Linked DNA regions of Nothobranchius furzeri. The protein of the gene in region 1 purifies or fractionates together with the protein of each later gene. This does not show direct contact. Links are inferred from orthologs where the notes say so. Each region holds a gene or a part of one and is shown in the gene's direction. Other genes may lie near its edges. The genes, in order: srpk2, luc7l3, dgcr8, scaf1, cpsf6, clasrp and tjp2a.

Region 1 (3,500 bases):
GGATGACACCCACATTTCCAGTAAACTTAACTCCACTCTCCCACCCTCCTCCCTTACCCTCTGCCTCTCAGAAATCAAATCTTGGTTCACGTCTAATTTCCTCAAACTCGGTGGAAATAAAACTGAACTTCTTCTTGTCTGTACCAAATCCACCGTCTCCAAATCGGACAGCTTTTCTTTAACCATTGACAGCGCCACAGTCACCCCATCCCCTCAGGTTAAGAGTATGGGTGTCATTCTCGAAAGCTCACTTTCTTTTCATGCTCACATCAATAACATAACTCGGTCAGCCTATTTCCATATTTGATCCATAAACCGTCTCTGCCCCTCCCTTACCCCTCACACCGCCGCCATTCGTGTCCACAGTCTTCCACCTCGATTACTGCAATTCGTTTCTTTTTGGTCTCCCCTACAACTCCTTCATAAACTTCAACTGGTCCAGAACTCAGCAGCCCGTATTATCACAAGAACCCCTTCCTTTCACCACATCACCCCGGTTCTCCAGCAGCTTTACTGGCTTCCAGTTAAATTCAGGTCCATCTTAAACATTCTCCTCCATATATTTCAGACCTTAAACGTATTACCACCCTCTCCGGTTCCCTCAGATCGTCTTCCTCCCTCCATCTTGCTGTTCTTTCTGCCCGTCTCACTACCACGGGGAGCAGAGCTTTCAGCCGCTCTGCTCCCCGTCTCTGGAACTCACTCCCCCTAGACATCAGAAATATTGACAGTTTCACCCTCTTCTAATCCAGACTCAAGACACACCTGTTCAAATCTGCCTATGACCTCTGATTTTATTTGAATTTAGTTTTTTCTATGTTCTTTTCTTCATTGTGTTTTAATGTTGTTTTAATGTAATTTACTGAATGTATTTTTCCTGTAAAGTGACCTTGGGTGTCCTGAAAGGCGCTTAAATTTTTTTATTATTATTATTATCATTTGATCTGGCTCAGCTCATTGTGTTGTTTTTCTAGCTTCATGAGCCACAGTTAGCTCCCTTCTCCAGGATTTTTTGCATCAAGTCAGCGTCGGTTTTTCAGACATCCCAATTTACAGGAAACATCTTTGATCTATTGCAAGCCGAGTTGTCTTTGATGTATTTGTTTCACTTTTTTTTTCCTTTCCTTACTTCTCCTGTGGAGGCACAGCTTATTAACAGGATTTTCTTCTTTAAGATCTGTGATGGTTTCTCTTTTCTCTCTTTTCTCATCCCCCTTAACCTCATCATAATGATTTCTCTTTTATTCCTGTCACTCGCTATCCCTCTTTCTTCTTTGTTACCGGTGTTTCACCCTTATTCCTTTTTATGGTCTTATTTTGTGTCCTTTTTTTTTCTTTGATTCCACTCTCTTATTTTTATTTTTGGCTCTGTCTGCCTTTCATCCCCCTTCCTTACCTTCTCTGTTTTGGCCTCCTTCCACCCCATCTCCTCCATAGACCACATAGCCCACATCATAGAGCTGCTGGGCTGTATTCCGAGGCACTTTGCACTCTCTGGAAAATATTCCCGGGAGTTCTTCAACAGAAGAGGTAGCGCTGGCCGTAGAGCTGGTGGGGCTGAAACACAAAGATGTCTTAGAGGGACAATAATGGAAATGAGCAGACTGTTTACGTTTGGTCCCAATGGATAAACTGGATTAAACTTTAAGAAAAATGGAACAAATTCACCCCCCAAGTCTGCGAGAGTGTCCAGGCTGAGCCTCAAGCCATCTGTGTGTCAGCCCCGTGCAGCCAGTGTATGTGTGTGTGTAGATGTGTGTGCATGCTGTAATGTGCCTGTTCCCATTGTGATGTATGTGACTGGTGGGCAGACCACATCGCTCTGATCACGGAGCTCCTTGGGAAGGTCCCACGCAAAGTGGTTGCTGCCGGGAAGTACAGCCGAGAGTTTTTCTCCAAGAAAGGTAAACAGAACCAGAGTCCGTGGCTGCTTGGTGGGTTCGCTGTTGGCCTCATTCTGAGGAATGTTCTGGTGACAGAACCTAGACTATGTAATCGGTTTCTGTAAAGTTTGTTCCTCGTTAAGCATCAAGAAATGTTCAGGTGAGTATTTCTTTAAAGTCTCTTTCTGGAGTATTTCCCTTATCCGATGGCACCATCTAGTGGCTGACAAGCATATCACACAAATAATTTCTCCTTCCGTTTTATTAAAATGGCGACTTCACGTTTCTTGTTTATTTATGTCCTTCTGTTGCTGACAATCAGAGCTAAAACACGATGTTTTACAAGAATTATTCTCATGTCATGTTGTTCTCCTATATTTATACTTAAGAGACTTTCTTGTCCGTGAAAAGTTCATCAACTGTGCATCAGCCAAGGTATTTCTTAAATTTCAAGCACGTAAGCGGTAGTTTAACACTATTGGTCAGTTCTGGTCGGCACGGAAAGTCATACATAATTTCTGAACGGGGAAACTCCAGAAAGACACTTTAAACGGCTGAAATGGATACAAGGCTTTTGGACATCTTTTGTTTACAGAGACATTACATTGGTGTTGTCTCATGATGATATGAAGGTTTTTCTATTGGGGGGGGGGGGGGGGTTTCAGTTCGCTAGAATGTATGGGGGGTGGGGTGTGCACGCAGGGTTTGCCAAAAAGTTGATTTGGGGGTGACTTGTTTAAGAGGCATGAAAAACTGTTTAAAGCTAATTTGTTTTCCAAATTTACCATTCAGCTTTAATTAGAGTTCAACTCAGCTGGTAAAGTCTGCAGAACTGTGATGGCAGTAACACCTATAGGGGGCTGAAAATCATCAGCTTTATTTTTATATCACCAGTTCGCATCACAAGTGGTCTCAAGCATTCCAGTTGAACCCGCTGATTAAACAGTTTAGTTCATTATTCCAGTTAGTTAAAGGTTTTCTAAGGAACCCAGCAAATTGCATCGAGTCGCTGACTAGTGTCAGTGACTTTACAGCAATCCTTATACTAAGCAAGCATGTGGCGACAGTGGAGAGGAAAATGCCCTTTTAACAGGGATAAACCTCCAACAGATCCTGGATCAAGCAGTTGTCTGCCACGACTGAGAAAACAAAGCACACTTAAAAAAATCACCAGATGAACTGTGGTAGGAGTATTTTCTATGTTAAAGAAAATAAAAGCTAAAAACGTCTACAGAGAGGCTGCTCTGTCATCATTTTACTTTATGAAAGAAAAACATCCTAAAACTTCTCCTGAAAACAAATAAACAAGTTTTAAACTGTTATTCTGTCTGATGACTTTAGAGGCATGAAAACAAAAACACATTGGACTCTTATGGTTACCGGTCTTATTGAGTTAAATAGGAAAACAAAGCACACTTGTTTAGGTTACTGCTGATCTTTGGGGCTTTCTTATTACCGGATGAAAATCGCCCATGGGGAAAAGACAGAACTCATCATTTGCTGGTCTCACCTAGAAGACAAGTACAGTAGTTTTGTCAAGAATTGTTAAATAAAATGAAATTTGTAGAATTTATAATGTGAAAATGTGATTTTTGAGTTGAGGTTGTTCTAATCTGT
Region 2 (2,209 bases), on another chromosome or scaffold:
CATGACGTAAATGCGCCATTCTTTCAGACCGTAAAGCATCAGAGGAGAAGAGCGGTTCTAAGAAAGACAGGCACACTGAAAGTGATGCAGCTGCCATCAGAGCTTCATCAGAACCAGAACCGATGCAGACGGAGGCCGCCGCCTCCCCCCGTCTGGTCAATGGCCAACAAGAGCTCCTCCAATCTGAAGGTGACACTCAGTCCAATTAAAACTGATCTGATAGGACCTCAGATCAGGCTCAGGTAAGTGCTGCCTCCTCTTCACTCCCCCTGGCTCTCAACCCACCCTCACACACCCTGACCCCTCCCCTTAACACCCACCCCACCCCTCCCCCTTGCCCTGTTATGTTCAGTTCAATGACTCTGATGTTGTCTGATGTACTACATGCAAACATCTTTATCCTGTTTTTGATTAGTGCATCGTAAGTATGCACTGAAGATGAAGGCCTAGGCCCGATGAGTGAGAAGAAGGTAGAAAAGATTCACTCAAAGCCAAGAGGGAAAGGCCAGTGTAGCCCTGAGGTACCCCTCGTTTTGTCTCGGTTTTTGACCCTTACACATGTTTATGTCACATTGTCAACACAATGACAGCAAAACGTAACTCATCAGTCTAAACTTTCTAGCTGTTTTCATGCCTGCTTTTACCTTATTTTACTGTTTTCAAACAGGAAATGGTAACATTCGATCCAGGGAAGAAGTGTCTCCATGTTTATTTATCTATCGCTCAGATTTATCCCAGTCATGTGTAGAAAGCCGAGAAAACAGATCAACCTTGGATTTAAGGTGTGTGTGGAGAACAGCAGCACTTAATGTAGCCATGGATTTCTGCTCCAGCTTAATGTGCCTGATGATGCCATGCACTGTGTGTGGGGTGGGTGGGGGGTGCAGCACCGGGAACCTGAGGACTGACTAACTGGAGGGTAGGGTTTATCACATGAATTGCAGCTGACTTCTATACCTCACACAGCGTTGGTGTTGTGAGCGAGACCACATGAGAAAAAGGGCAAATTAAAAATCTTGGATACTCTCTGACTGTCAAACTGTGCAGGTACTCACCCCAGGTACTCCTTTCTCTACCCACATCCATTTCTGAATGCTGTTGCCTGTCAGAACAAACCGTTATTCTTTAGATCGAGTATTTGAATCAACAGCTGTGTGTATTTTTTCTAATGGTCATTTTTGCTCTTGTGTTTATGGAGGAGTCGTGTTAGACTTAGACGATGATGTACCCTTTGCCATCAGCTGAAATTGTCACTAACATGTACCTGGTAGCATTGTTTGGCTGTTTAAAGTCACATTTCTGTAGTCTGTAGGGTGTTTCTGTGGTTCTCAGGTTTTTCTTTCACATGGCAAAGGGAATATCACGCAGCCTCGTCTCCACATTTAAACCTGATCTTGTGGAGGGTAATTGTGAATTGCTAAATATTTCAATTCAGAGAGAATAATAGGATAATGTGGCCAATTCACCCAAGATTATAACTATAGTTAACTTTTATGCATTAATGGTGTTTTTTTTTTGTCAGACTTCCTCCGTGATTAGGTTGAGGGATGTTTGCTTAGTGAATGTTCTCAGGTGTTGCTACGAGCCCGTGTTGTGGGACCTTTGCTAATATTGCGCATTGTGGCCGTTTTTCTCCACAGAGGAAGCTGGGATGACTTATGGAAGAAGTGGAAGAGAGCACCCGTCTTTACCCTGAACCCGACACACCGCTGCTTAAAAATAAGGTGAACCACAAACGTGTTGTGGCTTATTTAAGAAATGAACCTAAAGTACACGTGTAAATGTGGAGATGAACTATTCATGTTTTTTATGGTCATCTCATGTCGGTTATGAGGATAGCTGTGGTTCATCTGATTTTTATAAGATTGATTGGTCCATCTCTTAGAAAACTTAGTTAAGGTGCAAATAGGTTTTTGTTTTATTTTGAAAATCTTTACACATCCTCTGTGTTTCTTGGCATTTAGAAAAATGGAATAAACTTCAAAAACAGTGCTTGTGATTTGTGTTTGTTAGTCAGGTTGTCTCACTTCCTGACCTTTGAAGAAGTCCGATCAAAGCGTTTGTGCGATTTCAGGGAGTCTCTTCACCCCCACTTAGAGCCCACGATGAATGCTCTTGTCCCAAATCTGTAAAATATTACGATTTATTTTCATTGAAGACTTTTGAACATTTAAGATTTAATTTTGCCTTGCTTTTAATGTTCATGTTA
Region 3 (2,861 bases), on another chromosome or scaffold:
AGATCTTGCAGATGCTGCACCCTCATGTTAAGAACTGGGGCTCATTGCTACGAATGTACGGCAGAGAAAGCAACAAGATGGTCAAGAAGGTGAGGGTCCTCCTGAGCTGGAAGGTAGAAATTTACCAGAAATGAATTAAATGAACTTGTGCTTTCCTCAGGAGAGCTCCGACAAGAGTGTGATTGAGCTTCAGCAGTATGCCAAAAAGAACAAGCCAAACCTTCACATCTTGAACAAACTGCAAGAGGAGATGCAAAAGCTGGCAGCTCAGAGGGTAAGAACAGAGCCAGACACACGTTAGCGTTAGCTCGTTTTAGTTCCTACTCCTGATTCAGCAGGAGTTCTGCAGCGGCCCGTTTTAAAACCAGGTGTGTTGAAGCAGAGAAACTACAACAGGGATGCCCAGTCCTGGTGTTGGAGGGCTGGTATCCAGCATGTTTTTGTTGTTTCACTTCAACACATTTAATTCAGTGGTTGATTCACCTGTTCAACATGTTATCTAGCTCTACAGAAGCCTGTTAATCACCTAATTGATACTGAGCGTGTTGAAGCAGTGAAAGAACTAAAACGTGTTGGATATTACTCCTCCCTGATATAAAATTTTTACTTTTCCCAATTTTATACTTTTTAAATTTTGTTTGTTCAGTTATTGTTCTTGTGAAGCACCTCGTGGTTTTTAAAATATCTCTTCCTCCTTATGATGGATGGATGGGGGCTTTCAGGGACCAGGGCTGGACACTATTGTTTTAGGACATGTCCATTATGGACACCGCCCAAACCTCTCCCTGCAGTTCCAGCCCTGACGCTTCTGGCCTCCCGGTTGGTCCAGACCGGCGCTCCTGCCGGCATCTGATGAGCTCAGCTGGGCAACATTACCGTTGATTAGTTGCCCGGGAGACAAAAGGCAGTGATCTCAACCAGTCGAGGAGGCAAACCAGGATGACAACACTTGGTTTTTGCTCCGCGGTAGTTGGAGACCTCAGTGGTTGGTGGTAATTTAAAAACAGAGTTTAGAGTTACGAATGTTTTGTGAGTAATGTTAACTGGGTTAACTGGGAACGATCATTAGAAGATCTTTGACGTTGCCCTTTTGAATCTGTTAAACGCCCGCCCGGTTTTGGGAGAGTAAATTTAGTTGTGAAGATGGTCCTTTGAATTTAATCTTTGTGTTCTCGTTTGTCCCTCTGAGGATTTGAGTTACTTTGGTAGATAACTGGACTGTTTTCATTTAGATTAAATTTTGCATAAAAAGGATAATTCCTTATTTAATTGTAGCTTGTTTTGAGAAGGTGAAATCCCTGCATTTCATTTCATTCCAATCCGTTAAATAACTTGTTCCTTTCGTTAGAATATAGGCGTTTTTGTTTCGGTAACGTCCTCCCTGTGTTTTTCCGTTTTTGGCCCTTTAAAAAAAAAAACATTTATAGATTTTCCACCTGTCAAGTTTTGTTACCCCCTCCTCTCCACACGATGCACCAGTGCCGGGGTTGTAACATCAGTAACTAAAGGTTAAATTATGTTTAAATGATTGAGTCTGGGAGTGCGGACTGCCCATTCCTGAGGCTGATTTCTGTTTTTCAAGTGAGAACCCCAGTCTGGAGGAGTGGAGTCCAGTTGTTTTGTGTGATTTTACAGAAACGATTCCTGGTGCAAACCTTCTGTAGTTGTTTTCCATGAAGTCCGGTCTTTCTAAACGCATTGCTCATGAACTTTGTACTTGACTGTTTTCACATCAGGAGGAGACGAGAAAGAAACCCAAGATGACCATAATGGAGTCTGCCCAGCCGGGGAGTGAGCCTCTCTGCACTGTTGATGTTTAATTCTCATAAATCACTGATGAACCACCGCACTGAAAGCCGGTCACTGTCAAAGGTCACCCCCACGACGAAAGTATGCATCTCTGAGACAAAAGGACGGTGTAGTCCCACGTTTGACCAGCTGGCTTCCCTCACACACACACCCTCTCGTGACTGAGCAGATTGTTATAATGGTAGGACTAAATGCACTTACAGACCCCCGACTAAATACCTCTCTAGTTGCAGCTTTCTACGGCACTGAAACTTTATTGATTAAAATATGAACCACATCAGATTACAGCATGCATACGTGTTTAATCCATAAAAACCTCTGTGCTCATTGGTTTCTCGGTCAGTGTTTTCTAGTCACAATCTCATGGTTTCAGTGCTTGAAGTGTTTGAAAGGGACTACTAATATTTGTACTTTTACCATTCAAATGATTGGAAATCAAACTTTCTGGTTTATTTAGTGTTTTAATCGTAGTTTCTGGATATTTTGGGTGAGGAATGCAATTGTTCCGTTTTATCAATGAGAAGTTGTCGTCTTGCTTTGCATGACAAGAACATGCGTTGTGAAGTGATCACTGTTCAGAACTATTGGTGTGTGTGCGTGTGTGTGTGTGATGTTCTTGTTGTTGGTCTGACTGCTTCTGAGACTTGGGTGGACGCTTTGTTTTGCTTTGGTTCTTCACCCCATCCTGGCTCTGCTGTAAACCCAGTCCAGAGCCCGAGTCCTTTACTCCTACCCTACTGCCATGCACCGGTTGCTTTAGACATTTCATTTCTGATGCCCTTCTTTTAAAAAGGTAAATGAAGTTGGCTACATGTTGCCTTAGTTGATCCATTTCATGAAGGGCTCAAGTGCTAAATGTTACATCGGACCTAGAATAACCTTCAGCAGGAAGTGGGAGACCAAGGCCCATTCACATGATGAAGCATTTAACAGTCAGGTAAATATATTTAAGGCCTGTTCAGTGTCACGAGTAGAGTAGTAAGCAGCATGTGCAGAATTTTACGAGTCGTCTATGGATCGTGGTTTCTTGTGTTTGCCATCATTCTTGCTGT
Region 4 (3,500 bases), on another chromosome or scaffold:
GATAATGATGATGGTGATAATGATGATGGTGATAATGATGATGGTGATAATGATGATGGTGATAATGAAGATGGTGATAATGATGATGGTGATAATGATGATGGTGATAATGATGATGGTGATAATGATGATGGTGATAATGATGATGGTGATAATGAAGATGGTGATAATGATGATGGTGATAATGAAGATGGTGATAATGATGATGGTGATAATGAAGATGGTGATAATGATGATGGTGATAATGATGATGGTGATAATGATGATGGTGATAATGAAGATGGTGATAATGATGATGGTGATAATGATGATGGTGATAATGATGATGGTGATAATGATGATGGTGATAATGATGATGGTGATAATGATGATGGTGATAATGATGATGGTGATAATGAAGATGGTGATAATGATGATGGTGATAATGAAGATGGTGATAATGATGATGATGGTGATAATGATGATGACGGTGATGATAGCTGGTGGTGGTGATGATGATGATGACGGTGATGGTGATAATGTTGAATAATAATGATGATGATGATGATGATAATGATGATGAAGGTGTTGATGTTAATGATGATGGTGAAAATGATGATGAAGGTGGTGGTGATGATGATGGTGGCGGTGACGACGATGATGATGATGATGATGAAGGTGGTTGTGATGATGATGATTAAGGTGTTGATGATAATGATGGTGATGATGAAGGTGGTTGTGATGATGATGATGATTAAGGTGTTGATGATAATGATGATGAAGGTGATGATGGTGATGGTGGTGATGATAATGATGGTGATAATGATGATGAAGGTGATGATAGCTGGTGGTGGTGACGATGATGATGATGATGATGAAGGTGGTTGTGATGATGATGATGATTAAGGTGTTGATGATAATGATGATGAAGGTGATGATGGTGATGGTGGTGATGATAATGATGATGAAGATGATGATAGCTGGTGGTGGTGATGATGATGATGATGATGATGATGATGATGATGATGAAGAAGAAGAAGAAGGTGGTTGCGATGATGATGATTAAGGTGTTGATGATAATGATGATGAAGGTGATGATGATGAAGGTGTCAGCATTTAAAACTTTGAATAAATCAGTTTCAATAGAATCTATTAATACACTCCATTGGGAACTTTTGCAGAACTCCGTTAACTTGAATCTTTTCCTCTCTGCCAGGTGTGCTCCTGGACCCTTCTGCTTTGTGTTTTTGGCATCCTAGCGTCACAGGTGTTCCTGGCCCATGGACCTGTCTCCAACACCAGGCTTCAAAAGGAGGCTGGCTGCCTCCTCGTCCCCAGTAGAAGCTGAAGAAACATCCAGGAGCCCTTTTCTCTGCTCACCCTCTTCACCCCCTTCATCTGATCCATCTTCACCATCGTCTTCATCCTCCTTTTTCTGTGCAAAGTCATCTGCTTATCAAAATCATGTGAAATGTCAAAGAGAGGTGTCTGGGGTGTCCTCCACATCCACCTCTTCAGCTAGACAGCCTCTCCCCACTCCTTCATCCAGTACCATCTCTGTGGCCTGCTGTCCTCGTGGATCAATGCAGTCCAGTGAAGAAGATGGCCAGAAAGAGGAAATGTATGATCCTTTCAGTCCGACTGATGGGGATAAAGAGAGAAGGGTGGCAGATGAAGAGGGGGAGGGAGAGAAGTATGACCCCTTTGATCCCACTGGCTCTCCAGAATCAGATGTAGATGAAGACATTAAAAAAGAGGAGGAGATTCACAATCCTGAGGAGAAAGAAGAAGAACCTCCAGATTCCACTGACACCTTTACAGACCAGCTGAGCCCCTGTCCAGCTCCCCAGCTGTCTCTGAGACGGAGACTGGGCAGCAGCACCCCCAAAGGCGAAGGGCAAAAAGAGAGCAGTGACTCTGACCATTCTGAGATAGAGGAGGGGGAAATTGTTGGAGCTGTTGACAGAGACAGGGCTAATAACAGACCTGATGAAGAGCAACTCACCTCAAACTCTCCCAAAATCTCTTTCTTTGCTTCTAAACCAGAGCGCATTCTCCGTGTGCTCGATGGAGATGGATTTGTATCCGTGTGCACGGAGGGAAACTGGGAGGATGACCAGGAGCTGGAGAACGAGCCTGTAGTTGGAGTGGAGGATTTGAGAAGGAAGTTGGTCAGTAGGAGGAAGGAAAGATATCACTCATTTCCTGCCTCGTCTCCCCTTTCTTCTCAGCCACCACTGCCTCCTTCTGTGCCTAAAGCTTCTGCAGTGTCCCCTCCACCCATATCTCCTGTAGAGCAAACTGGCAAGAGCCACAAGTCCTCCAAGAGCTCCAAGGAGCGTGACCAACAGAAAAGCAGAGATAGGAAAGCTGGAGAAAAGGAAACCAGAAGGAAAAAGCGAAGGAAGGGCAAAGAGGGGGATAGGGACAGGAGCAAAGAAAAGGAACAAGGACACAAGGCTGGGAAGGAGGTTAGAGCAAGGAGGAGCAGCAGAAGCAGCAGTCAAAAGAGAAAGAAACGACTACACAGCAGCCCCGAAGATTCCCACAAGTCCTCTAGAAAGGGAGGGCATTCTAGACTATCCTTCTCCAGGCTGTCCGAGGAAAGACATCGAGATCAAGAAAGAGACAAAGACAGGAACAGAGACAGAGAAAGGGACAGATACGGATACCGAGACCGGGATGGAGATAAAGACCGAGATAGAGATAAAAACCGAGACAGAGACAGAGATGGACATCGTCATCGCAGCAGTAGCCATAGAAAAGATGAAAGAGTGCATGATTCCAGTTCTAGAAAAAGAGAGGGGGAAAAGAAGGGCATACGCCATTCAAGCAGCAGAGAGCGAGGCCTCACGGAGAGGTCCAAAAGGAGCAGGGACAAGAGGGACAGCGACAGACAGCATGAGATGGAGCGCCGGCGAGATGGGCGTCCTGTTGTGCCCCCATCTATCCAAGACCTCAACGGGTCCGATCTCTTTGCTATTAAGAGAACCATCACAGTCACAACCACTACCACCACCACCACCGTACCTGGCTCCCCCAGACTGTCCACAGCATCTCCCAGTCATCCCACACAGGTCAGCGAGTCGCATAAAAGGAAGAAAAGAAAATGGCATTCAGGTGGAGCTGCAGAGGAAGAGGGAAGCTGTCGCAGCTGGTCACAATCGCTTTCACCACCCAGGTATCATGGCTATGAGTCGGACCGCTACTCAGACAAATTGGAGATTGACATGTTGTCTTTAGATGGTGAAGCCTTGGATTCAGATTACCCCTCTATGGAGGATACGCCTCCGGCCACTTTGCCTCCAGAGCCTCCTGTCCCCAGCCCTAAAGCTAAAGCTACACCCAAGACCAGACGAAGTCACCCCAAAAAGAAGTCCCACGCATTAAAGAAATGTGAGTCCTCCACGTCTTCTAACAGAACCACCAGTAAATGCCTCTCCTCGCTAACCATCACTTCCGGCTCTGCGTCGGTTTCACCTGGTCTTCCCTTAGCAAAGCGGGCCAGAAAACTGGGCAAA
Region 5 (4,118 bases), on another chromosome or scaffold:
TCCAGCCCATATCGCCCGTGTGGCCAGAATATCCCACCTGGCGCTGTGTAGGGGCCGGGGTGAGTCAATCCCCAGTAAGTCGTGGCAGATGGCTGATTATACTGATCCAAGATCCTCTTGAGGTTTCTTCCTGTTAAAAGGAGTTTTCATCTCCACTGTTGCTACATGCTTGCTTTGAATGAGGATTGCTGTAAAAGACACTGACACTAGGCAGTGTCTCAATACAATTTGCTGGGTTCCTTATATGGGAAAACTTTTTACTAATTGGTATAATGAATTGAATTGGTTAGTAATGTGAAGTGCCATGAGATGACTTGTGATTTGGCACTATATAAATAAACTGGACAGAACTGAGGTAAATTTAATAAAATATATTATTTGATCACATGCTCACCAGATACAAGTCTAGAAATATTAGGATACGTTTTTAAATATTTGTTCTTAGCAACATTTTCTGAAATTACTGGAACAAAATCAACGGAATCGATTAAGTAATTTCAAAAGGAAAGAACCAATCAAGAGGGAAACAATAGAACGTTGATGTCTCTTTGTGCTGTTTAATTGAAACCTTTGTCGCCCTCTTGTGGCTATGTTGTGACAATACAACTCCAATCCAGTCCAACACTCCCAATACTAGGCTCCAAATAATAAAACATTTGTACGTAAACGAGCTTTAAAGATCTTTAAACCCGTAGAGCACCACCAGCTGCTATCTCGTTAAAACACATAAATCATAGAAAATGCAATATTTCAGTGTGTCTTTTGTGTGACCAAATCACGACGTATTAAATATTTCTAGCTGTGATTGTTTTTCTTAAATTAGCTAAGAAAAAATTCTTAATTTTTTGATAACACGTTTATTGTAATGCTGATTTAAAAAACCCCACAAGGGTGCAAACAAACATACAAACAAGAAGATAATTAATATTTTTTAATCGCATGCATGGTTATTATAACATGTTTAATCTTGTAGTAATTCGATGGTCTGAAGACATTTGGCCACACACAACTTTGGCAACTCTCTAACTGGTCCACTTGATAACAAGATGTACTTATAAACAATATTTTAAAAATAAACACAAATTGTATTATGTTACATACATAAGGACATATTTTTACATATATAAGAACATAGTATTGTTATTATTATTAGATAGATAGATGGATGGATAGATGGATGGATGGATGGATGGATGGATGGATGGATGGATGGGTGCAAGTGTGTCAAATTTCATGTCTCCAAACCAAACAGATTTTCATTATGAAACTTATTAGAATGAAAAGTGGGTTATTTACTCGTGTACCCACAGCGGCCAGCAGGGGCGCGCCCTGAGGTTGCTTGTTTGTGGGTCGTTGTTGGGTCTGCAGACTGCACCGCCGCGCGGGTAGAGAGCGGCGGATCGGGAGAAAATGGCGGATGGTGTGGATCATATCGACATTTATGCCGATGTGGAGGAGGAATTCAGCCAGGTATTATTAACTCACGGCAGTTCATTCAACCGTGTTTGGTTTTGTGGAGGCTTGTAATCATTTGTTGGTATTAGAATTGGATAAAATCGTATTTGTATGCGAGTCTGTTGAAGAGGCCTTTCAGGGCGCTTGGTTGCAGCTCAGCTTCAGATCAATGTAGCCTTTGAAGTAAAAGCATTCACCGAGGCGTGTGTTTTGCCCAAGGGTTTATACAACGGGTACATAATTATTAGTATAATTTTACGCGAGTAAACAAGATTTATAGCCACTTATTCGTGTAGCTCCCTTCCAGGCCTCCGCGTGGTTTCCCATGGCGGACCAGCGAGTCAAACAGATGCTCCTACTGTTAGCTACTATGAGCTAACCTCGTAGGTTTTCCAAACGATCGTGTGAATCAGCTCAGATTTTTATGAGCTGCCACCCATTCGCTTTTAAAGTAAATGAGTGGGAATGCTCCGCAGTGCCTGGGTAAGTGCATGTTTAATTTAGAGATGAGTTGATAGAACATTTGTAGCACTAGCTTGTAGAGGCTGCGTAAAGAAGCAGTACATCCGGGCATTTCGCTGCTTACGCCCCTTCTTTCTGAGGGACAAACAGCCTCCATGATTTGAACGGTAATCAACAATAATCCCTCAATGTTCCTACAACAAAAGCACGACATACGCAAGCTAATTTGTTTTAATGCCAGGGCGAGGTACCAAAGACAACAAAAGGGTGGCGCTGAAATGTCTCACACGAATGTATAAAACAACTTTAATGTAGTCCATTGAACAGTAGTTACATCTTATAGGAATTTAATCCCTTTAAGTCAGTGTCCTGGTAACAACATGTATTGAAATTTTAACATTATCTCTCATATTTTTAACGTGACACTGAAAACCCATTTTTTTTTATTATTTCTGAACATGAAAACAGTCTCCTACACCTATCTCCTGCATCAGCTTCTGGTAGGAAATAGTCGGTGAAACTCTAGGATTTGAAAAGCCTGACAGATCTTCATCACACAGTCACTTAACATTCATGGACTCGCCCGTTTTGACTCGCGCAACAGGAAAGGTTGTTTCTGTTTTAGCATCCGGTAAACAGCAGGGAACTAGTAAAAGCTACCTGTTGGTGTTAGCAACACCACCACACAGCAGAACTCCTTCAAGCTTGTGCAGTTTGTGGAGATAAAACATCAGTGTCACACAGCAAGCAGTCAGTGGTAGAGTTGCATTGCTGTTGGCCAGTTTAAGGGAAATGTCCAAGTATCAGGAAATAAAACACAAAACCCTGCCGTCCGAAGCTCACCTCTGATCTGGCCCACTTCTAGTTCCTGAAACAGGTGCACCGGAGCTTTTTTCCCCCAGAGTATGACTTACTAGGCATTTATTCCTGCTAGAGACCACCGCAAATGTATTAAAAATCTAAGTAAAGTTGATCTTTAAATAATACAAATCAGTAAAACGAATTATAGTTTCTGTAAAGGGGGACTACTAATGATTTATTAAGCACTCAATATAGAGTAGATTTTTTTTATGTAAATAAACAATTTAAAGTGAAAAGAATGAAGTAGAAACATCCTGTTTTTGATTCATACATTTTATCATACCTCAGGAACCAGAGTACCCAGCTCATGAGCAGATCGACTTGTATGATGATGTAATCTCACCTTCGGCCAATAATGGAGATGCTCCTGAAGACCGGGAGTACCTGGATGCACCACTTGCTCCAGGTGGCTCGGAGGGGGGGAAGAGTGCACCACCCAACGCATACACCTACACAGGCAAAAGGATTGCCCTGTATGTAGGAAACCTCACGTGGGTGGGTATCGGTCATCTTAACAGCCAAAATGTTTTTATAGCATTCATCAGAAAATTTGGTAAGATCACTCAAATTTTGTTTTCTCTCACAGTGGACAACAGATGAAGACCTGACAGAAGCCGTCCGTTCAATAGGCATCTCAGATGTGCTAGAGATTAAATTCTATGAAAACAGAGCCAATGGCCAGTCAAAAGGGTGAGTGAGGCCATTGTTTTTGTGTTTGATTTAAGTATAACCCTTGTATTGTCTCCAGCTTCTCTGATTGCTGTGAGCATGATTATTAAAATGACTCTTGTGTTTGTCTTTGCGTTCTTCAGATTTGCTCTCGTGTGTGTGGGTTCAGAAGCATCATCCAGGAAGTTAATGGAGTTGTTGTCGAAGAGGGAGCTCCATGGACAGAATCCCATCGTTACACCGTGCAACAAACAGTCCCTCAGTCAGTTTGAGATGCAGTCACGGAAAAGTAAGTTTAAAGTTACAATGGCAGATCTGCAAAAGAACGTCTACCAACTTAGGGTAGCTACCAATCTATTGTGGAGATGAGCGTCAGTGTTTTTGATTTTGATGCGCCGATCCAATCAAGCGTTTGGAGTTTAGGCCCGATCACTTGATTTTCCGAAGATGAGAATCGTGTGAAAAAGATTGGATTTAACCGTATAAAACAACAAATGTAACTTTTAATTCTTCCTGAATAGAAATTTTCAAACGGCTTAGTTTTAAGAAGACATCTAGAGGCAGACACGGAGCCGCTTTGAAGAATACCTCGTGGAAAAACTCTTAAAGTATGAACGTTTTATTCACCGGTGACTGGAGGAGTGAAAAAATATGCAGCAAGCGTTCTTTTC
Region 6 (3,102 bases), on another chromosome or scaffold:
CTGAAGCTACGAATGCAGAAGGCGCTCAACAAGCAGTGTGAGTATGCCTGAATGAGCACGTCTCTCAAAAGCTGTGCACGGTTTTTGTGAATCTATGCAAAACTTTAAAGGTCTAACACGGGTTTTCTCTAAATTTCTTGTTTGATTTCTTTTTCCCCTGACCTGCAGCCAAGGCGGATAAAAAAGCTGCTCAGGTGAAGATCCAGCAGCAGGAACACAAGCGGCAGGTGTGTGTGTGTGTGTGTGTGTGTGTGTGTGTGTGTGTGTGTGTGTGTGTGTGTGTGTGTGTGTGTGTGTGTGTGTGTGTGTGTGTGTGTGTGTGTGTGTGTGTGTGTGTGTGTGTGTGTGTGTGTGTGTGCGAGAATCTATGCTGAAACCAACCCTTCCCCGTCATTTCCCCTCATTGCTTGTTAATTTTACAGGAGCGTGAGGGAGAGCTGCGAGCCATGGCACGCAAGATCCGTATGAAGTATGTGTGTGTGATGATGTGTACTCACTAGTGTGCATATGTGCACACTCTGGTGTGTAACTGTGTGTGCGTGCATGTGTCTTGCAGCTCTCTGACCTAAAAGTTTTGTGTTTAGGGAGCGTGAGCGACGTGAAAAAGAGAGAGATGAATGGGAAAGACAATATGGCCGACAGAGCAACTCACCTTCCCCCTCCAGATCCAGTAAGACGGGACAGTTTTTCATCACAAATAGATCTATATAAAAACACAAATTAGTTTAGTTTACCCTACAAGGCTTTTTGTAAATGCATGCCAACAAAATGTCACCAGCTAAACCTCAGATTGATTTGTTACCACCAGTTTGTTTAAAGGGCTAAAAGACGTTAAGACACGATCTTGTTTTTATTGTGGCTCTGCTTCCTCTGTCCCTCAGGCCGAGAGTCCAACTCATACAAAAGGTATGTAAGACACCACAGGAATCTTTACAGTCCCAGTGAAGCGTTAATGTTTGTTTGATTTTCATGTTCATACAAAACCCCGTCTCAAAGACCCGTCACAAAGCCTGCAGATTAAACCCGTACGTTAGGCAGCTTTCTCTTGAGCTGCAGATTAGTCTTCATGTTCCGATGCCAAACGAGGGTGGAAAGCTATTTTATTTATTCCTGAAACCAAAGAAAATCTCAGCAAAACTAAACTCAGTTTGGAAAACCATTCGTGTTCTGGGAAGAGCCAATAGCTACTGTTATTATTTATAATATAATAAGTAGTTATACTAACCTGGATATTTGATTTAAGATTAATTAATCTCTGATGTTGATTCTAGGTAGTTAAGGGTGTAAGAAAATAACAATTTATTGAAATATTGCGATATTCCGATACCAGTCTTGATTATTTAAATGCAAAAAGTTCCTGTATTTCTTTTGTGTGGTGCAATTCAAATCCTGGCTGCTAGGTGGCAGCAGTTTTTAACCTCATTCATTCTGATGGAACAATTAGAAATAGCGATGATTGTGGATGTATCTTTGAACCAGCTGAGTTTTCCCATCAAATTCAGTGTTGAAAATTGCAAATATGTCTGGCTTTTAGTATCACCATATATCGTATCGTCTCCCGTTGACTGTGATATATATTGTATCGCCAGATTCTTGCCAATACACACCTCTATGGATAGTAATTAAATGTATGATGCAGCACAAACAGATTTAACAGTGACTCAACATCAAAACATGTCTTATGTTGTCTTGGGTGGAATTCTACTTTTACACAAAAGTTTACATGAAGGGGGCGGGATTGAGCTTGTAATGAAACCAGCCTACAGGGGGCGCTTGTCCCATTCTAGGCTTGCACTCAGATGTTTAAGCTGCAGGCACAGAAAACAAAACTAAACAATTAAGACTGACAGTGTGACAGTCAAATGTCATTTTGCTGTTTTTGACATGTCTGGTGTCAGAAAAGATCAGATCAGTGATGTAAATATTGCTATCATGTGCTGGCGGCTTTTCTACAGCGATTTTGTTTTTTCCCAGAAGGTCACGATCGCGATCTCGATCTCGATCGCGGAGTCCGTATTACAGATACTAACAGGTGGACGTGGTGGACTCATCCTGCAGAACGTCCATTACAAACTGTCCAACAAGAGCCACTTACATGGAAATATGAAGAGGTGGAGTGACTGACTGTTGGTAACCAAACCAGCTCATAAGCCTACAACTCAACACGATCGCTCGTACTGCTCATACATGAAACAGACTGTGATTCTTTACTCATTTGAGATTTTTCTTCAAGATTTCTTCACCTCTGCATGGTACATTTTTTGTTTTCCCTCCACTTCCTCTGGAGATATTTGTACAAGGTGAAAGTGTGTAACACAAAGCAGTACCCATGGTTTTGCCTTTCATCTACCCAATGTCAATATTCTACAACAATCTACAATTTTGTAACGGGAAAACTAAGGAATGTTTCAAGCTGTCTCATAATTTGATTTGCTGGATATGAATTATATATAAATCCAAATCTAACTACTTTAAAGGGGGAATCTGTCTGTGTTTATTAAACTGTTGGTTGCTCATTTTGTACTCAGCTGGCCAAATACAGAAACGTGTTTCTCTAATGTGGAATGTTAAATGCAGAAAAAATAAAAAAAGATTTTGAATATTTTTTTGTCTTGGTGTTTTTGTATATATTGAAACAATAACTGATATTGTAGAAATAGCTTGATTTATTGCAGTTTTGGAGTTGTCAGTAGTGCGGTACTTTGTTTTGACCAGTTGGTGGCGACAAAAACAAGATGCGAGTTTTGGATCCGTGCTTGAACTTTAAATAATTTTCATTTGAGTGATTCTTGAAGATAATGAGTGTCGGAGCCGCAGCTGGTCGGAGCGAAAAGCAGAAGTGAATACTGACCTGGTTCCTGCTTGGTTTTAAAACACCTGTGGAGAATTAGTTCCCTCAGAGCCACTGAGGAGGAACTCTGACGATCCCCGCCTCATTAAAAAACATGATTCAGTCAGTCAACACTGACTAAACTCCAGTTTGTTGTGAGAAAATTAAAGGTGATAAGCGTGCGTGGATTGTTTTACCCGAAGGGGGCGGGATCAGGGTCTGCGGGGCGGGCGGTGTGCTCGGTCCATGCCCCCACCTCCCTCTGTCCTGCG
Region 7 (3,500 bases), on another chromosome or scaffold:
AGTATTACTCCACTCCCACTTCCTGTTTGAAAAATGCAACAAATGCTGTTGCCTAGCAGACCGAGAGGGCGGAGCTGCTAACAAATACACACACACAGGCTCACATTGACATTGTGACATCATATGGTACCAGCTAACGTTCTAGGGTACCTCTTAGCCAATAGCGATGGCAAATTTAAATTCAAGTTTAGTGCAGAGTTTTTACCTGACAATGGCACAACACTGCCAGTTTTAGGCAGAACATTTAAATTTTAACTAAAATGCACTAAAGTGCAAAACTATTGACTACACGTGTCTGCATCACGACTAGACACGCATTTATATAGTTTATCAGGAAAAAAAGTTGATTTGAGGGTGACTTGCTCTTTAAAGATCTTTCTGTTGCATGTGAAAACTTAAAGGAGCAATAAGTAAGAATTCAATAGTGAATTAATCACAAAACAGTCTGTCTACATCGTGTTGGAAGGAAGGTCACACTCACAGGTTTCATCCTCAGCTGGCTGCTGGGGCTAGAAGCTAATCATCACAGGAAGCATCGGGGCTCGCGTTATTCAGGGAGTTAAACATCAACGTTGCATTTTTTACCCAAGAAAACGTTTCTTCTTTAACGCAGAAACGACTCTAGCTGGGATTAAGTAATCATCTCCTGTCTTATTTTAAATTTCCGTAGCATTTTCTTCATCACAGTTCAGGCTGGTTACCAAAGACACCAGGAGGAGGGCGACATTAAAGCTGCCAGTTTGGCTGAGAATGTGTTTTACTCATGTCTGCACATGCTGCAAGTGATCGGGTCAGGGAGGCTGCAGATTATGATCTGTAGTGTCTTTGTGCGGGTCTGGGCTCTTTGCAGTCGAGCATGAGGGAGAAACATGTCTCAGATGTGAAATAAATGTGATTTTGAGTGTAAAAATCATGTCTCTGGTCTAGAAGGTTCAAGCCTTTTTAGAGCATCTAAAAATGGACCTTTCTGCCTGGTGAATCCCATGTGAGTGTGCAGACTTTCTGTTGGGTTTAACAACACGCCAGCAGAGATGTTCCCTTTAAACATTCATCACCTCCTCTTAAAAGTTTAAAATGTGAAGATCACAGCACACTTGGTGGGATTAACTTTTGAGGGAGTAATGTGGAGAAATTGGTGCTGGAAGCGATAATCTGTTGGTTATAATGTTTAGTTGCGTTTTGAGAAAAGGATGGACCTACATGACTCGCAATACGACCAGGATGTGAGTTATGGGTGAAAGAAGGATTTGTGTTTCCTCTTCAGTCAAAAACATGTGTGTTGTGTACCTTATCAAAATAAAAGCATCAAATACAATAGATTGCTTATTAATGTGACCGTGTGAGCGTCCTGTCACAGTATCCCGACTGATCCTGCGCCCTGGCTACTTGCCAAGGGGATGTCCCTTTGGCTGACTGGTTAGCATGCATGACTCTCACCCGGGAGTCTGGGGATCGAATCCCGCCTGGGCCCTCGTTTCTCCACCTTGCCACATTAAGATTCGTGTTCACTTTGAGTTTTTCATCCTTACAATTCAAATCAATTCAAGTTTATTTATAAAGCGCCAAATCACAACAAGAGTCGTCTCAAGGACCTTCACACAGTAAACATTCCAACACAGGTCAGGTCATTAAGCCAATCAGTAAAAAGTTTCCTATGTAAGGAACCCAGCAGGTTGCATCAAGTCACTGACTAGTGTCAGTGACTATACAGCAATCCTCATACTAAGCAAGCATGCAGCGACAGTGGAGAGGAAAACTCCCTTTTAACAGGAAGAAACCTCCAGAGGATCCTGGCTCAGTATAAGCAGCCATCCTCCACCACTCACTGGGAAGAATACACACACACACATGCAGACATACACACGCATACACACGCGCATGCACGCACACACACACACACACGCACGCACGCACGCACGCATCTGTCTTTCTATCGTAATCCCCCCATTGACTTTGATTCTTTTTTTTGTGATTTCACCATGCCTAACCCATACCATAACCAATGCTGATCTGTTCCTAACCCATTCACACCAGACCTCTAACTGATATAGTAAGCTTCTAAAAAAAATGAGGACCCAAAAAATGTCCTCACATTGTAGGGAGAGTGTTCAAAATGGTTCTCAGAATGTAGTATGTACAAGAACGCACACACACACACACACAAACACACACACCACACACACACACACACACACACACACAAAGTGTGTGTATTTCTTAGTAAATATTCTATTTGGTGAGAGAAACACATGAACAAATGAACATCAAGTGGATTAAATTAAGTCTGGGCGATGTGGCCTAAAATAAATATCACGACATATCGAGTTAAACTCTAACGTAAATAAACAATAACTACATGCACAAAAGCACTAGATGGGGCCGTCACGGGTATTACGTAGAGTTACGTTGTCATGTGACTGGAGATGGTCCAGCTAGTTAAAGGGACATGAACTTCACCAACTTACACGCATCTATTCTTTTATTTATTTATTTTTATTTATTTTTTTTACTATCGAATTAATTGACATGGGGAAAAATGGTTTTGGTTAGAAATGACCGATGGATACATTTTTGAGTTATCGCCTAGTCCTAGATTACATTGTTTATGTGATTGTTAGCAACATTTGGTCAGTTTTGCAGCCTTGCAGTACACGATATCATAAACTACACCGGTCAGCCTAGAGAAGCTGAAACTCCCACTGAAGAACAGGGTTTTCTGCTCGGTTTCACCTTTTGGGCTGATGACCTGTCACTTTTTTGTCCCAGATCTGTGTAAAAAATTAATGTGTTTTCCTTCCATCCACAGGGACCAGGGTTGCTCCGACCCGACCAGTACTGACCTACTGAAGTCTGGCCGTAAGTTCTGCTGGTCCAGAGAGACCCATTACTTGTATCTTCACCGCCTCTCTTCAAGAAGTTTCTCAGCCATCACTATGGTAGGACACTTCTCTGATGTTTATTATTGATGAGAGGGAAGGAATGGAGAATCATTTGGTTCTGTGAGAACATGGGTCAGGGTTTCAGTTCAGTTGTCTCCGGGTACGATCCATCCAACGGACTTCACTTAAAGATGTTGGTAAAGGAACAGAAGTCAGAACAATCTCAGTTGGGAGACTCGGAGAGGATTTCTCATGTGGGAGTTGAGCTGCTCCTACAAGAAATCTACTATGGCAGTTTCAATGATCTATAATAAAGGGATGTTCTTACACTTAAGTGTGTTTCTGTTTAAAATTTGTAAATTCTTATTTTACCCATTGTAGAAGGCTTTCTGAAGGGCCTCTGCTCAGAGAAATGGTTCACATCCATCAGGACTAACGAGCTAACGGCTAGTTTGAGGGAAGACCATACCAGAGTGTATTAAATCAGATGGAGATAACTTTAAGACGCTTACATTCCTCCAAACTGATAAAATACGCATTTTAATTAGATTCCTAAGAAGTTCATTTTTATTTTCATGTTGCTTGTATTTGTCCTCTAATTGATTTTTTTCTGCTTTTTTT

The links.
Region 2: the proteins of srpk2 (region 1) and luc7l3 purify together in Homo sapiens (affinity purification with mass spectrometry; 3 studies listed by BioGRID and IntAct, with this or other methods). This does not show direct contact. The link is inferred for Nothobranchius furzeri from reciprocal best matches to the Homo sapiens genes SRPK2 and LUC7L3.
Region 3: the proteins of srpk2 (region 1) and dgcr8 purify together in Homo sapiens (affinity purification with mass spectrometry; 3 studies listed by BioGRID and IntAct, with this or other methods). This does not show direct contact. The link is inferred for Nothobranchius furzeri from reciprocal best matches to the Homo sapiens genes SRPK2 and DGCR8.
Region 4: the proteins of srpk2 (region 1) and scaf1 purify together in Homo sapiens (affinity purification with mass spectrometry; 3 studies listed by BioGRID and IntAct, with this or other methods). This does not show direct contact. The link is inferred for Nothobranchius furzeri from reciprocal best matches to the Homo sapiens genes SRPK2 and SCAF1.
Region 5: the proteins of srpk2 (region 1) and cpsf6 purify together in Homo sapiens (affinity purification with mass spectrometry; 3 studies listed by BioGRID and IntAct, with this or other methods). This does not show direct contact. The link is inferred for Nothobranchius furzeri from reciprocal best matches to the Homo sapiens genes SRPK2 and CPSF6.
Region 6: the proteins of srpk2 (region 1) and clasrp purify together in Homo sapiens (affinity purification with mass spectrometry; 3 studies listed by BioGRID and IntAct, with this or other methods). This does not show direct contact. The link is inferred for Nothobranchius furzeri from reciprocal best matches to the Homo sapiens genes SRPK2 and CLASRP.
Region 7: the proteins of srpk2 (region 1) and tjp2a purify together in Homo sapiens (affinity purification with mass spectrometry; 3 studies listed by BioGRID and IntAct, with this or other methods). This does not show direct contact. The link is inferred for Nothobranchius furzeri from reciprocal best matches to the Homo sapiens genes SRPK2 and TJP2.

What each region holds. Positions count from the first base shown.
Region 1 is NC_091744.1:58,271,275-58,274,774, reverse strand, and holds part of srpk2 (SRSF protein kinase 2), read left to right. Parts: intron 1-1,437; coding exon 1,438-1,530; intron 1,531-1,811; coding exon 1,812-1,904; intron 1,905-3,500. UniProt on the Homo sapiens protein: Serine/arginine-rich protein-specific kinase which specifically phosphorylates its substrates at serine residues located in regions rich in arginine/serine dipeptides, known as RS domains and is involved in the phosphorylation of SR splicing factors and the regulation of splicing.
Region 2 is NC_091752.1:53,179,718-53,181,926, reverse strand, and holds part of luc7l3 (luc7-like protein 3), read left to right. Parts: intron 1-27; coding exon 28-209; 3' UTR 210-242; intron 243-1,640; 3' UTR 1,641-2,209. UniProt on the Homo sapiens protein: Binds cAMP regulatory element DNA sequence. May play a role in RNA splicing.
Region 3 is NC_091757.1:31,769,476-31,772,336, forward strand, and holds the end of dgcr8 (microprocessor complex subunit DGCR8), read left to right. Parts: coding exon 1-89; intron 90-160; coding exon 161-274; intron 275-1,736; coding exon 1,737-1,820; 3' UTR 1,821-2,361; downstream 2,362-2,861.
Region 4 is NC_091758.1:13,840,717-13,844,216, forward strand, and holds part of scaf1 (splicing factor, arginine/serine-rich 19), read left to right. Parts: intron 1-1,195; 5' UTR 1,196-1,259; coding exon 1,260-3,500.
Region 5 is NC_091741.1:47,840,563-47,844,680, forward strand, and holds the start of cpsf6 (cleavage and polyadenylation specificity factor subunit 6), read left to right. Parts: upstream 1-1,318; 5' UTR 1,319-1,410; coding exon 1,411-1,470; intron 1,471-3,066; coding exon 3,067-3,273; intron 3,274-3,364; coding exon 3,365-3,468; intron 3,469-3,590; coding exon 3,591-3,736; intron 3,737-4,118. UniProt on the Homo sapiens protein: Component of the cleavage factor Im (CFIm) complex that functions as an activator of the pre-mRNA 3'-end cleavage and polyadenylation processing required for the maturation of pre-mRNA into functional mRNAs.
Region 6 is NC_091753.1:42,025,199-42,028,300, reverse strand, and holds the end of clasrp (CLK4-associating serine/arginine rich protein), read left to right. Parts: coding exon 1-37; intron 38-168; coding exon 169-227; intron 228-422; coding exon 423-469; intron 470-584; coding exon 585-670; intron 671-881; coding exon 882-906; intron 907-1,974; coding exon 1,975-2,029; 3' UTR 2,030-2,602; downstream 2,603-3,102. UniProt on the Homo sapiens protein: Probably functions as an alternative splicing regulator. May regulate the mRNA splicing of genes such as CLK1. May act by regulating members of the CLK kinase family.
Region 7 is NC_091746.1:73,933,135-73,936,634, reverse strand, and holds part of tjp2a (tight junction protein ZO-2a), read left to right. Parts: intron 1-2,806; coding exon 2,807-2,936; intron 2,937-3,500. UniProt on the Homo sapiens protein: Plays a role in tight junctions and adherens junctions. Acts as a positive regulator of RANKL-induced osteoclast differentiation, potentially via mediating downstream transcriptional activity.